2 linked regions of the Alligator mississippiensis genome follow. The protein of the gene in region 2 binds, or shares a complex with, the protein of the main gene of each other region. Links are inferred from orthologs where the notes say so. Each region holds a gene or a part of one and is shown on either strand. Other genes may lie near its edges.

The links.
Region 1: EIF3J (region 2) and EIF3F share a complex: the UniProt entries of both Homo sapiens proteins name them as parts of the eukaryotic translation initiation factor 3 (eIF-3) complex. The link is inferred for Alligator mississippiensis from reciprocal best matches to the Homo sapiens genes EIF3J and EIF3F.

Annotation. Positions count from the first base shown.
Region 1 is NC_081829.1:25,034,353-25,042,215, reverse strand, and holds the start of EIF3F (eukaryotic translation initiation factor 3 subunit F), read right to left. Parts: upstream 3,093-7,863; 5' UTR 3,078-3,092; coding exon 2,765-3,077; intron 2,671-2,764; coding exon 2,600-2,670; intron 1,293-2,599; coding exon 1,213-1,292; intron 1-1,212. UniProt on the Homo sapiens protein: Component of the eukaryotic translation initiation factor 3 (eIF-3) complex, which is required for several steps in the initiation of protein synthesis.
Region 2 is NC_081834.1:1,714,936-1,722,229, forward strand, and holds the start of EIF3J (eukaryotic translation initiation factor 3 subunit J), read left to right. Parts: upstream 1-4,163; 5' UTR 4,164-4,245; coding exon 4,246-4,270; intron 4,271-4,343; coding exon 4,344-4,444; intron 4,445-7,294. UniProt on the Homo sapiens protein: Component of the eukaryotic translation initiation factor 3 (eIF-3) complex, which is required for several steps in the initiation of protein synthesis.

The sequences.
Region 1 (7,863 bases), on a different chromosome or scaffold from region 2:
AGCTGCAGCCTCCCTGCTGGCCACGCCAGGCAGTGTTGGCTGCTATTGCCCGCCTGGGCACACACTGAGCAGCCCACAGGCGGCGGTGGCAAACACTGGCTGGCGTGGCAAGCAGGGGGGGCCACAGCTGACATCACCACACGTAGCCCCGATGGGTGAGCCCAGAGCCGGCGTGGGACCCAGGCTGGCAGTGGGGCTGGATTACAAGGAGGTGCTGAGCGTGAAGGGAAGCAGCCCCTTACCCACCCTGTAGCTGGCGCTCGCAGCCTGCGGGGCTGTCCGGGGCAGGCACAGGCAGCCCCAAGCGGGCTGGGAGTAGCTGCAGCGCAGGGCACCAGCCATGGGGTGGAGGAGGAGCCACTCATTTCCCTCCTCCCCAGCACAGCTTTTCCCCAGGCTCCTTGCCTGCCCCCCCCTCCCCTCCCTTACCTGAGATTCCAGCACCACGGGGGCAACCATGTGGTCCCAGGCCAGAAGCCCCAACTGGGGCTTCCAGCTCAGGGGGTGGGGCTGAGCTGACCCTGCTGTTGTGAGAGCCCACCAGGCTTCCCCTGGGTCCTACTGCACTTGGTTCCTGTCATTTTTGGCAAGAACCAAGGGCAGATAAATATTAATTTTCTAAATTTTTTAGGGGCCCCACGGGCCGGATAGAATGGCCTCACAGGCTGCATCCGGCTCACGGGCCATATTTTGCCCACCCCTATCCTAAACACAGACCCCTAAACACACACCCATCCTTTCTTACACAGACAACAATGTCAAAGATGTACTTCATTCTCTCCCTTCAGCAGGCTTAGGCAAGAGGTCTAAGAACTTTCCACCATGGGGAAAGGAAAGTTTTATTACCATTCATATACAGCCAGAAAACCAACTTCTTCAAAACACTACAATAGTAATTAGAATACTATACCAACTACATTTCCTGAAAAAGTAACTGAAAAAAAGTTATTTCACACTCAAAATTTAATACATGTTAACAATATTTGCTTTTAAGCTAACAGCTAGCACTTCTGCAACCAGCTAACCAGCAAATTGGCTTTTGTTTCAAGAAGTTTAATAGGTTTGTGCAGCAGCTATGCTACACTGAATGCAGATTTTTGTCTGAAGCTTTAAGCTAAGGAGTCCTGAACTTGACTAGTATTGGGATGGGTGACCACTTTGGAACCCCAGATACCAGAGACACAAGCAAGAGAGTACAGGATGACCACTTACCACCCCAAGATGATTTCACTGGGAGAAACCTTCTTGTGCAGCTCGTACATATTCTTGGCAAACTCCATATCAACTGCAACCTAAAAAAGAGCAAAAAGCATGAAGCTGCCAGCTGCAGGAGCACTTCCATTTGAGCAAAGAGCAACGAAGGCAGCTTAATGGAGGTGGAAGGGATGACGATAACAGCCACACCTCACAGAAGAGTCCCATCTCTTGGTATTTACCAGACCAGACCTAGTAGAGCAAATACTGTGGTGCAGTGATCAAACTAAGGGACAGACTTGCCACCAGGGCCTGTTAATGCAACTCTACATCACCACTGGGCACTCCCCAGCCTGCTCAGGAGTCCAAATGCTCCAGGTGCATGCACAGATGGGGGACAGGGCAGAGTCAGGACCCCCACAACAGAGAGAACAGCATGTTCCAAAGTAGCACTCCCAGCAGAGATACACCAGTACACTGGTCCATATTGTAGTTTGGCTGGTAAGTTGCTGGGGGGAGGAGGTGGGTGCATGCGCAAATCAAGGCCCCTGCGGTGAGGTGGGGAGTGGGGCTGGGGCAGGCACTACCCAGAACAGGCAGGGTGCGGGACAGAGCTGCAAACGGCTCTTCCAAGGAAGGTGGGGAGCGGCTCATCACAGTGCGCACCCCTGGGGGGAGGCATGGGGACATGAGCCCCCCTTATTTGTGCACAGGGTGAGTGGGCTGCTGCTGCAGGCTGGACCCAGGGGTGGTGCTGGATTCTTCCCGGTGGGGGTTGGGGAGTTATGGGGTAGCTATGGCAAATTCCAGCGTGGTCACAACCCACCCCAAACTCCCTCTCCCAGTGCTGTGGTCACCCACCCCACCCCTGCCTGCCCCAAGAGCAGCTCCAGCCCAACTCCCTGTGTTGGGAAGAGCCCAGCACTGCCCCTGGCCCCAGCCTGTGCTCACCTCGCACCCCCTGGCTCTGTCCTGCACTCCACCTTGGCTGGGCAGTGCCTGCCCCAGCCTCAGCCCCACTCCCTCCCTTACCGTGGGGGGCCTTGATCTGCACCCCCCCCATGCCCCTTCCCCCCAACAGACTTACCAGCCAGACACTGCTCTCCAGGCTACCAGAGAGCATACCAGCAATTGGATCGGTAGCAGCGATACAGCTTGTTAACAATCAGCCATCTGTATTAGCCCATAAAGCCCCTAGGTGCCAGCTGCCTTCCCCTACTCCCAGCCACGGCAACCAAGTACTTTGCACCAGGGGTAACTAGCACCTTCTCCAGAGCTCTCCGGGGTGTCCTGGGGCACCTCTGCTCCCGGCCCTGTCCCACCACAGCTCTGCGGCAGGGCTGGGGGCTCATGCAGCTGAGCTGGACCAGGGAGCCGGGAGCTGGAGTCCTGGACCCAGACCTACCTCATCCTCGGACTCGTTGTGGGGGACGGAGAAGCAGTTGGTGACCTCCACGGAGTGTTTGTCCACCATGCCTGCAAGGCAGAGAGCGGGGTGAGGGGGGCGGGGCGGAGCGGGGCAGGCCCCCGGCGGGGGCGAGGACGCGGGGCCGGGCCGGCGGGCTCTTACCCAGCAGGGTGCCGATGACCCGGGCCGCGCCCTCGTTGCGCCGCTCGAAGCTGTCCACGATGGAGGCGAGCACGACTGGGTGCAGCCGGACCACGCGGCCGCCGGGGAAGGGGCCGCCCAGCACCGCTGACAGCGGGGGCGGGGGCGGAGCGGGCGGCACGGCTACCGGGGCCGCCGCCGTCGGGGCGGCGCCTCCTGCTGGCGTCGCTACTGCCGGGGCGGGCGCCGGGGCTGATGGGACGGGCGCCGGGGCCGCGGCCGGGACAGGCGCTAGCGCCGTAGCCGGATCTGCCGCCGGAGCTACCGCCGCCATTTTGCAGAGAGGGGTGGGCAGTACCGCGCCGGCGATAACGGGCTCAATCAGACGCCCGTCATTCTATGGTGACTTCTCATTGGGCAGGAGGAGGACGAGTTCCCGCCTACCCCAGCCGCAAACCAACCTCAGGACGGCAGAGGAGGCACGAGACCGTGGATTGGGTCGGTCTGCCACGCTTGTGCCCGCCTTCTCGGCGTCCTAAGCTTTTCGATTGGCTGGTGACTAAACCTATCGCTCGCCCGGCTGTGTCAATGCTCGCTCATTGGCTGCCCGCGGGTTGAGCCGGTGGGGCCTGGGCGCCCGGTGGTTCCAGGGACATACGGCAGGGAAGCTTCGGCCGTCTGCGCAGGCGCGCTAGGCCACGCCTCGGGGGAGCCTGTCACTTGCAGTCCCGGCATCTCCCGGGGAGCAGCAGAGCGAGCCGGTTTCCCGCGCCCCGGCCACTGACCCTGTCACCCACGTAGCCTTTCTTCCTTGCTGCTTGGACAGAGCGGCTCGTAAGCAGCGCCGTTCCGCCCTGTCAGCGAAAGTACTGGGAAGGCTACCTGGCACTAGCAGAGGTACCTTTCCTGAGCGTTGAGCGTGCCCCGTCTGTGCAGCGAGTCAAGGCTCACATACCTCGTGGATGGGGTACGAGTGCAGGTGAAATCTTCTCCTGCCCAAAGACTAAATGGAAACCACTTCTTAGTCACAACTCTGCACCTCCATGGTAACTAACACCAGGCCGTATGAGCGCTTCATGCTCCAAGCTCTGGTGTCCAGCCTCTGATTTTGATAGCGACCCCATTGACCTTTCTATCTTTGTTCTTACATACTTTCTCTTCAACATCTGCTTTCACCATAAGTTATTACACAGACTGCTGTGCTAACTTGCAGTTGGAGTATCATCGCTATATGGTGTTACCTCCCTGTACCATGAACTTATTTCTGGGAGCAAAATCTCCCTATGCTGCATTAGGGTAAAAAAGTACCTTTCATTGCATTGGAAGTAAAATAAATCCCCTTATTTGGATCAATATCCTTACTGGGAATAGTTTTTTTCCTCCAAGGGAGGGAGATGTGGGGGTTAATTGCACAGGACTGTTAATTCCTTCCCCTGCTGCCACTGGTGGGGAGGGGTTTGTTTTGGGGGAGGGGGGGGAAGGGCACGAGTGGGGAGCTGCTGTTTGCTCTGTTACCAGTGGTGAGCAACAATTGCCCACAGCCATCGTCTACACTGGCTGCAGCAGCGAGTGGTGACCTCCTACAGCCACCATGTCAGCAGCGAGGGGAGGGGCAGTAATGACCTACAGAAGCCTGTGGCAGCTTTGGCAGTGGCCAGTCTCAGGGGGCATGTGCCCCCCTGTGTCCCATTTTCTTGAATGTGGTGGGATGAAACAACTATCTTTCCAAGTAGCACAAAACTGACAAGATTCATTTTTTTGCTTTGTTTCATGGTCAGCCATCAATGCTTCTGCTGACTCCTGACTTTCATTCAAGTCAGTCAGCCTACACAGCTAGCCATGGTTAAATCTGGAACGCTATCCAAATGTACATGCAGGGGCTTCTATTGTTTTGCACAAATTAGAGTGAGTTTACACCTTATAGACCAAGTCAGAGGTGCATAACATAAGCTTTCATAAACAGAAGTTCATTTCAAAAGCCATTGCTTATGCTATACATCCCTGATGTAGTTAGTCTATATAGTTCTAATCTACCCTGCCTTTTGCCTGACTCCAGCCTAAATATGGCTAACTACTTTTCTTTCCTATTGTTTTGGCCATTCTAAGCAAAGGGGCTATGATAAGACTAGACCTTCCAGATAGTAGTAACACCCAGCAGTTGACAAGCCTGGCCCTCTTCCACTTATTCTAGTCTTGGTTTCTCAACAGTAGCTGTACAGCTGGGACTAAGCCTGACAGTGCAGGTTCTAGACTTCTCCCAGCCTTCTGGCCTCACTGGTTAAGTTTTTTTATGACCTTTTTGCATGTAGGGGGTTAAACTCACAGGGTGCTTTACGGCACCTACAGTGTGGCCTCCTCTTTTTACAGCTGCTCTTGGTCATCCAGTGTTTGCTAGCTTAAATCCAACAAAACCCATCGCTCCTTCAGGTATTCACAACCAAAATGCACGTGAACTTAAATCCTTATCCTTCCTTGGTCCACTTGGGGGAAAAATATTGAAGAGGAAAAAAACCAAAACAAAGAAAACCTCTTAACCCTTACCCATCAAGGCCCCTTTTACTGTACCTCCAGGTACCACCATAGTCTATTTAGAAGCTTCACTTATTTCCCAGCCAGGATCAGAGTACCCTCTCTAGTCTGAGGACAAGCCTTTTATTCTCCTCCAAGCTTCTCCCTTTCCAGCCAGCCAGACCCATCATCCAGTCTGAGCACAGGGGTTGCTGATTAGTCTCTGCAGCCCTGCCAGCTGCCTGCCTTTTGGCTACAATCCCTTCTTAATTCAGCCCCTGCTCAGGCCAGGTTTAATGGTGATTGCAGGGACCTTGCTTCTTCTCTTTTTTGCTGCTTGCCATCTGGAGTTTTTCTTTGCTGGTCCTTGCAGCTCTTTTCCACCCTTGAGTCTTCATCCCTCTGAATCACAAAAATCCTGTTTTTTGAGGGCCCTTGCCAGTTCTGTTTGCTCCCCAGCTTTCTCATAGTAACAGGGCAAGTGTAATTCTCTCTTACAAGGAAGGGTGCCAGAACTGGGTTTTCAAGGGTGCTATGAGGTGTGAGGAGATAAGCAAGTGTGAAGAGAACAAGTGCACACCCATGCTCATCTCTCCCTGGCCACTTTCCTACCTCCATTCCTCAACCTGCACTATAATAAATAAATTAGTTTTTGAAATGCAATTCACAAAAGTTATGGAGGGTTGCCTCGAGTCAAAGGGGGGGTGACTTGAGTTTAAAAGATTGAAAACTGCTGATCTAGGGTGTGTATCAGCCAAGATTGAAATAACCCATTAATCAACCACACATTTGCCTGAAGCCACTCAACCTCCAGCATAACATTGACTCATTGACTCAAACCAAGGTTAACAAGAAAAAATTAAGCCTTTCCCTGTTTTTGCATGGAACTTTATTGGTCTATTTTAATAATCAACATAGAATAGTACCAACATTCTGCATGGGGATGCTGGACTAATACTACTGTAAAATTCCATTTGTCTCTAAAAACTGAGGTGTTGTATTAATTCCACACCAAATTGACATAAAAATCTATTTTTCCTCAACTTAGGTTAGGTTATGAGGACATAAACACATTTCTGTGAGGTAAGCTAGGGTTAGCTTCCTTGCATTTACCACATAAGAGCGTTCACATTGAGAGTTATTTCAGAATAGTTCACATGCTGCAGGTTCACAGACCAGCTTACCTTGGGGCCTTTGTGTGTCCCTTACCCTTAGAGTTGAATGAGACATTATTAGGTGCTCAAAAAGAGCATGCAAAGGAGTACATATGCTCATTAGTTACTATTTAAATCTAAGCTAAAATAAGAGAGTGGTTTTGAAGGAGAGCTTGTATTAAAAAAAAAGAGAGAGAAATGTATTAATGCTATCACAGTGGGGGAGACAGATACATTTGTCTCGGACAGCTGGAGCCGACCCGAGGTGATTTAGAAATTGCTCGTTCGTCAGGGCGGGCTGGTGAATGGAGAGGCAGACGAGGTTTAATGGTAGCAAAAACCTTCGCTGTGCAAGAGGCTCTCATGTGACAAGAAAATTCCATAGTGCTGAGGCACCAAAATCACTGTGTTGTGACAACATTCACTGAAGTAGAAGAGACTGAATTCTACACATTTCTTTCACATTTACACATTTTAAACATTTCACAAAAAATGAAGCAGGAGGAGGAGTGATAACACACTGAAGAAATGATAGATTTTCAACATTAAAAAAAAACAAGAAGTGGTTCACAGTAATACCTAATCTGTACCTCACTTAGTGCTTTCTTAGCTGGGGACATAATTAGTTGTATTCAGTAATTCAGTGTATGGAATGCTTTTTTATTATGATCTCTGGCATCTTAAGCTTGTAAGTACAGGTTATTGAACTGGCACATGCTGAAAAATCTAACCTTTTAAAAAATATTAATTCCAGTAACAGTTACCTAACCAAATATTTTGGATCCTTCAAGTTTTTTAGAGGGTGTAGGTCTGGATGACTTTTTCATTGTTCAGTGGTATTTGTTTCAGGTCAGTCATAACTGTTAAAAAGTGTAATACTTAGCTGGAAAGGAGCCGCTAGATTCTCAAAAAATAACCCCCCAAAAACCATGGGAATCCACCTTACTAGTTTTTCTGGAAAATGCAGGACAACTCAGGGAATTCCCAGGGACAGTGCATTTTTATATTCAGTCTGAGCACATTCAGTTTTAGCATTGTCTGTGTTCAATGTCCATGTCTATGTTCAGATAGAGTGCTTTATCTCACGTTAAAGGAGTTCACTGCAACCTTAGCTTAGAATTTAATTTTAATAACCCAAAAGGATTAGAAGCATAACTTGAGAAATGGCATGAAAGAAGTAGAACTTAATTCTTCCTAGTAGTGCAAGCAGGTTAGATTAATTTAAACTGTACCTTCTACATTCCTCAAAAAAAAATTACAGTGGCACAGAGGAACAAAGAGCACATATAGCACTATTTGAGCACAATGGCACTAATTATCCAGACATATGTTTTCTGCCATAGAACACATTCCCATTGCTTTTTTATAGTGGCTCAGCCATTTATCTATACAACAATGTATGTCTAGTGCTTAGAATAGAACATGGGTATTAGAACTTAGAGTTCTTTGAAGTTCTGC
Region 2 (7,294 bases):
ACTGGGTAGAAAGTCTTCTAAGCTTTGGGGGACTAAGTGAGCAGCTGGAAAAAAAAGTCCAAATTCTGGACCAAATTCAAATTTTGAAGCTATGCAACAGCACAGTGCTCTGGAGAAACTTTTTCTCTGAACGCTCAGCGTACTCTGTTTAAGTGCAGTCTCAACACCGACTTCTGCTAGCAGCCCTTTGACCACTGCTTTCCCTACACTGCTTCAGGCACTCTTCAGGTGGTAAAATCGGTTACAAAATATACACTGACAAGTTGGTATGTGATTAACTGAGTTACAAAGTAGTTAGCAGGGATGAAAGATGCTATGCACTTAACTGGTTTATGCACTTAACCAAGATGTAGATGAAAGATATTTGTTAGAACATGAGCAACAGGCAACAAATTGGGGTTGCCATTATGTTATGCAGTTAAGTGAATGGTGCACTTATGCGTATACATTGATTGGATATGCTTATCTGCATAGGTAAGTGGAGTAGACTATTATTTTATTTTAGGACATACCTCTCCATCCCAACTACTAAGGATAATATTTGGTACTTCTATTTTAAAAGGCTCAGGGCAGCTTATGGTAGAAAACAAAATAACTTATAAAAACAGAAAAAGACAATACAACAAAATAGTATAACTACAATTCCCTTGACATGATGTTCAAAATTTCAGAGGACATTACAAATATGAAATCCCTCCATGACCCTGAGAGGTACTTTTCCTTTCAACAACTTTAACTTTCAAATCAAAAAAAAATCTGGCAGTATATGCTGCCAAACTGTAATTGCAGATATCTTTTTTAATGGATATCCAGATGCTTCTATATACTATTTCTAGGACTTGGTAAAGAATATAGTTCATTTTTTGCTACTATTAAAGGATGCTTTGCTTGCTAATTGGCTTAACTCATATTTAGCCATAATTCAATATTTACTCAATTGAGTAAAAAACAAAACAAAAACAAAACAAAACCCCATAATGACTCCTAGCATAATTTAAACCAGAATTCAAGGTCAATGTGTTTAAAACTAAATTTACATACTTAGAAAATTTAAAAAGTTATTGAGAAAAAAAATCACTTTACACACCCCTTACCAATTATTAGGCACAAGCATCTAATGCTTGTGAAACCACATGCTTCTCTGAACCAGCTAGTCTGTAAGGTGCCAGCCTCCCCTGCCTTCTGCCTGACTTCAGACTAACACAGCTAAGCAATTATTTATGATACTCTTGATTATTAAATATCATCTTACATTTATAAGTTTCCTGATATTTTGCTAGGGCTCAGCAGGCTAGCTTTAGGTCCAACCAACTTTAGGTCACTGCAACAACTGTTTAACAACATACATCAACATGCTGCCATCAATTTAAAATGGAAAATAATAAAACTCTGAACTACAAGAGACAACTGAAACTCATTTCAGGAATTTAGGAAGGCAGATACCCCACTGTTTGAAGTCAGTCAAGACAGGAGACCTTGCCTCAAGTCCTACACTATGTCACTTTAAATACCATGTCACACAAATGACAGCGCCTACAGAAGCACAGTAGTGCTATGAGTCAGCATTGAACTCATGGTCTAGGACAGGGGTTGGCAACCCCACAAAACCACTGGATCCAGCCCACGGATGTGGGGCTTTGGTGGCATTCAGCAGTGCGAGGCTCTGCCTGCAAGTGCTCCCCATGTACTGCCACACAAGAAGGACAAGCGGTGGTAGCCGGTCCTAGCACCTGCCCAAGCACCTGACATGGGGTGTGTTGTTCCGCCCCACAGTGAGCCAGAAAGTTGCTTACCCCTGGTTTAGGAAAAGTAACGGCTACTGAATAACCAACACAACTTCCCACAGTACCCATGTATTCACTGGCTGTCTTCCACCTAAGTATCAGCAATAATCCAGCTCAGCCCTGCTTAGTTAAAGGAACTGACTAGATGACAGCACAAGCTGGTACAAATACAAACAGTTTAAGTCACCATCAATGCCGTTGGCTCTTCTCAACATCTTGCCCTGTTTGAACACTGTTAATGTGCTCAGTGAAAAAGCACATTCAAAATGGGTATGGTTTGTGTTTCCATGTTTCTTTCCTAGGAAAAGAGGAGAAAGGACAATAGTGACAAGGGAACAAGTTTCAATCTAATGTGCCATAAATTGGTGGGACTCCTGGGAAAGATGACACAAGATACAGCTGCTTGCACTATGGGTGAATTTGCCAGTATGAATTTAAATCTGATCACTTGCCTATTCTTTTCATGCATTTAATGGCTATATTTGTTTAAATTATAATTGGTACCTTTTATCCTACTACATCCCATATCTAGCACTTCTTCCTTTGATTCTGTGTTCATTTCCTCTAGATTGAGATAATCCGGCATATTCAACCGCAATAAAACATTGTGTGTTGGTGCCCTGAATGACATTTGCATCTCTTTACCATTATAATTGCAGGCTTATACTGCCAACATATTTACAGTCAAGGAGACTTGCATATGAGAGAGCAAGGGTAAGAGTGAAGTGGCTGACTAGCACTTTACTGTTTTACTTCCTAGAAGTTCATTTATGTATTTATTATATTAAGGTACTTGAGCTTTGCCTCTGTCTTTTCCAGAGGACAGGAGGAACCAGCACAGACTCAGAGATCTTGTCTTCATTAAGAAGTTTATTATTCATATATACACCACATATTACTGACCAAGGGAGTTATAGTTTTCAAATGTTAGATGATCAGAGCCTTGCCTCTCTCTCTGAACACACGTGAGAATGACCAACAGTATTGTCCACGCAAAATATGTCACTTAAACCAGGCCTGCGAAGTTAAAACACTGCAAGGCGCCTAACATGAATGCACCTGTTTACCCCCCGGTTTACCCCCTTGCTGTAAAGGTGCACGTGCAAAGGACACGCGGGTAAAAACAGTGTGTTTTCACGGTGTTAGCTCACGCACCCCGGTCAGTACAGCACCGCTGGAAAGGTGCAGGCAGGTGCAGGTGCAGGTGAACGAAGCCACGTCGTAGCTAAAGCTCCTCGTTAGACTGCGACCACAGCAGCTTCTCCCGGGGCAAAGCAGAACGCCGCGTCCACGCTGAACCTTTTGGTCACGTTAGGCAGGAGATTCATGGTTGAACACCGCGTCTTTTATTTTAGTCTCGGCAAGCCCCCCTCCGCCGTCACGAAAGAACTGCTTCTCCCACCCATCGCCCCCGGAAAAGGGGAGGGAGACCCCAATTATGACGGAGCTCCCAGCCGTGGACCCCAGCCTGCACCCGGAGACGAAGGACTGAAAATAACAGGATGCTTGGAGAGGGCCGGTCGAGACTCCACACCACGAACAAGGGTTGCTGGCCCGGCTGCCCGAAACAGGCGAGCCGACCCCATTTCAGCGCTCTCAGGCCAACTGATTCCCTACCTGGAAGACGTGACGTGAACCTTCGGAAGACCTGGGAAGCAAGCGCAGGATTCGGCAAATTGGGGTGCAACCTCTCCGGCAGGGTGCCCTGTCCTCTCTTCTCCCGATGCGCCGCTCCCGTCCCGTCCTGAACCCTCTCCATGGCTCCACCGGCATCACCCCCAGCCGGGCCCGGCCTGGCCTGGCCTGGCAAGGGCAAGGACAGCTGTCCTGTGGGGACTGCCTGCGCCTCCCACGGGGACGTTCAACAAAGGTGGCAAACTCCAAACCGAGGGAAGGCCCCGGGGTGCCCGCCCCACCCCGCGTAACCGCCAGGAAACCGGGACCCCGCCAATAAAAAAATCCCAATTTTGGGGGCTAAAAAAACCCAACTAACCCCCCCAAAATCCACGCTTAAAATGAAACGCTGCTATATAGGCATCTCTATATTAGTGGCGCTTCATTTTAAAGCACAGGAAACGTGGATTTGGGGTTACTTTTTTTTTAAATCTAAAAACTTGAGGGGCTCAGCTCGCTCATGGCTACGAGCTGCCCCAGACCCACAGGCCCCCTCAGTGGGGGGGGGAGCCTCAGAGACCCCTTTTGAGGGGGGGGCCCAGCCCGACAAACCCCCCTCAGTGGGGGGAGAGGGGGGGCAAGCCTCAGGGACCCCCTCACGGGAGGCCGCCTCAGCCCCGCAGAGGGGGAGGGCCCTAGAGACGAGACCGCCCCGCCCCCCGCTAGCCCCGCCCCCCCGGCGGCCATTCCGCCGCTATCCCGGCATGCCCCGCGCGGCGCGCGGCGAGTCACGGCCCGGCGCGGCGCTCCCTTCTTCCTCCCTTCCCCCCCCCGTCCGCGAGGCAAGATGGCGGCCGAGGCGGACTCGTGGGGTAGGTGCTGCTCCCGCCGCCGCCCCCCGCCCCCCTCCTTCTGCCCCCGCTCACCCGCTCTCTCCCCTCACAGACGCCGACACTTTCGAGGCGGCGGATCCGGCCGCCAAACCGCTGGTGCCGGGCGTGGGCGTCGACCGCTGGGCCGGCGAGGATGAGGAGGACGACGTGAAGGTGCGCGCGGGGGGGGCGGGCACGCGTGTCCTCGAGCGCGGCCCGGCCCGGCCCGGCCCGTCCTGTCCTCTCCCGTGGGGCCGCCTGCCCCGGGGGGGGGCCGGGCTGCGCTCGGGCCGTGTGTGTGCGTATAGGTGTGCATACGTGTGTGTGTAGTGCGTGTCTAGGGGTGGAGGTGTGCATACGTGTGTGTGTGTAGTGCGTGTCTAGGGGTGGAGGTGTGCATACGTGTGAGTATAGTTGCATACGTGTGTGTATAGGCGTGTCTAGGGGTGTAGGTGCATATGTGTGAGTAGTTGCATACATGTGTGTATAGGCGTGTCTAGGGGTGCAGGTGTGTGAGTATAGTTGCATACGTGTGTGTATAGGTGTGTCTAGGGGTGCAGGTGTGTGAGTATAGTTGCAAACGTGTGTGTATAGGCATGTCTAGGGGTGTAGGTGCATATGTGTGAGTAGTTGCAAACGTGTGTGTATAGGCGTGTTTAGGGGTGCAGGTGTGTGAGTATAGTTGCATACGTGTGTGTATAGGCGCGTCTAGGGGTGTAGGTGCATATGTGTGAGTAGTTGCAAACGTGTGTGTATAGGCGTGTTTAGGGGTGCAGGTGTGTGAGTATAGTTGCATACGTGTGTGTGTATAGGCGTGTCTAGGGGTGTAGTTGCATACGTGTGTGTGTAGGTGTATTGGGGGGGTGTAGTGTGTGTGTGTGTGTGTGTGTTTAGGGGTGTGCGTGAGACCAGAAGTCGGCGCTCACAGGCCGGTTTCCAAGCAGCGGGACCGGGTGCGAGATCTGCCCCCGCCCCAGGGCGATCGTGCGTCCTGTTCGCTACCGCTCCGAACTGCACGGCTCGTGGACGACAGTGCGGCGCGGTGCGGCGGGGCTGGGCTCGCTCTGCTGTCCCGCGCGTCTGTCGATGCTGGACCGTCCGGGCAGGTTTGGACAGGGGCGACCCTGCCTCAGGCAGGGGTTTGGACTAGAAGGGAGCCCTACTCCTCTTGCCATCTTTAGTGCTTTGGACGCTTGCACATGAGATGTCGAGCAAAACTGCGCAAGGATATTCTGGGGGGCAGATGTCCGTGAACTTTCTTTTTTCTCTCCTATTTCTACCTTCCTGCTTCGGAGCCAGCGCCCGGGTGCTCACGTCTCTGAAGGTGTCTCGTTTTCTAGAGTACAGAGAAACACTGTCTGTTCTCAGTTTTTTGTGGGTCTCCCCATAGCGAGTTGCTTTATGGTTTCCCAGCTGGTGTTAATCTCGTGCTCCCCGCTGAAGAGCGTGTCACATCCTGTTGGACGGGACTTTGGCCTAGAGAAGCGATGAGACGGGGGTGACGGCCAAAGGGAGATATAAGCAACTGGGCTTGGCGCTGAGAAGGGACTATCTGGAGCCACCGTCTGCTGGCTAGGAACGGTCCCTGCCCTTGCAGTTGTCTTTTAGCCCTAAGACCGCCCTTCCCCGGGAAACCAGACAGCCCTTCAGTGCTACGTAGGATTAGGTGATGAGATGCGACGTAGTGACTTGAGGTGGTTCTCGGAGCTGATTTCGCTGTTTCCTGCGTTTGAGTGTGAATTGTCGCAGATTTCCAAGCCGTAGGAGGGGACGTTCTGTATTTGAAGTTGAGGCCGCTTTGTTTTGTGCACGTCGGTGAACGAACATTGGTAACTTAATACCTAGAATTAAACACTGAATTTAGGTTACTGAGAGATTGCTGTAGACAGTCTTATTATTGGTGACTAGATGATGAAAGAAGTGTGTTCCTCCTTTCTGGTTCGCCCGGACACGGGTGCAAGTAGGTCCTGCTCTAACCTTGATTAGGGTAATTGGTGCTTGCTAGTTGTGGGCTCCAGCACTACTTTTGCTGTTCAGGTTGCAGCCAGGGAAGCATTCGATAGGGGCATACTTTGGCTTTTACAGAGGTGGGGCCTCTGGGTGGGGTGGAGAGAAGCATCTTGCAATAGGGAGGTGCCAGGTGAGTGCAGCACCTTGCTACTAGGGTGTGTCAGGTTGGGGAGCATATTGCACAGCCTGGGGCATTCGCCCCTCCTGCCTCCCCTCTGCCCCACCATTGTCTGCGCTAACTGCCGGACCTTGTGTACGAAGTGTACGGCTGTGTCAGAGTTGCCCATAGCTTGGGTTAGGTGCTGCTTGTAATGAAGACATTAAGAAAACCAAAGTGAACGGTCTCTGTACTATCTTCATTAGGGGTGCACCGATAGAGGTTTTTTGGGGTGATAGCAAAGGCCAATTTTTAAGGAGCCATATCAGCTGATACCGATCTGATTCCAACAAGCATCCCAGCAGCTTGGAGACCAGCAGCAGGCTGGTAAGTCAGGTGGGGGGAGGGAAGGAGCATGGGGGGGTGCCCCTGCGGTGAGAGGGAGTGGGGCAAGGGCAGGCGCTGTTCAGCCAGGGCGGGGCATGGGACGGAGCCATGAGCAGCTCGTGCAGGGGGGATGGCTTTTGCCACTGCGCGCACCCCAGGAGGGCATGGGGAGCATGTGTTCCCAGATCTGTCTGGTGGGCCAGGCTGCAGCTGTGGGCTGGGGGCAGAGGGGGCTGGGCCAGACTGCTCTTGGGGCAGGCGGTGGTGGTGCTGGAGGGAGATTGGGAGGAGGCTATGAGAAACCTTGGGGTGGCTGCAGCGCCCCCCCCCCAATAGCCCCACGCAGATCCGGGGACACTCCTCCCATGCCCTTCTGGAGTGTATGCAGAGTGGGAGCCACCCCAGTGCCCCCCAGATGAGCCGCTCACAGCTCTGTCCCATGCCCCACCCCAGCTGTGCAGTGCCTACCCTGGCCCCACTCTGTCCTGCACTGTGGGGGCCTCGATCTGCACCCCCCCTCCACAGACTTA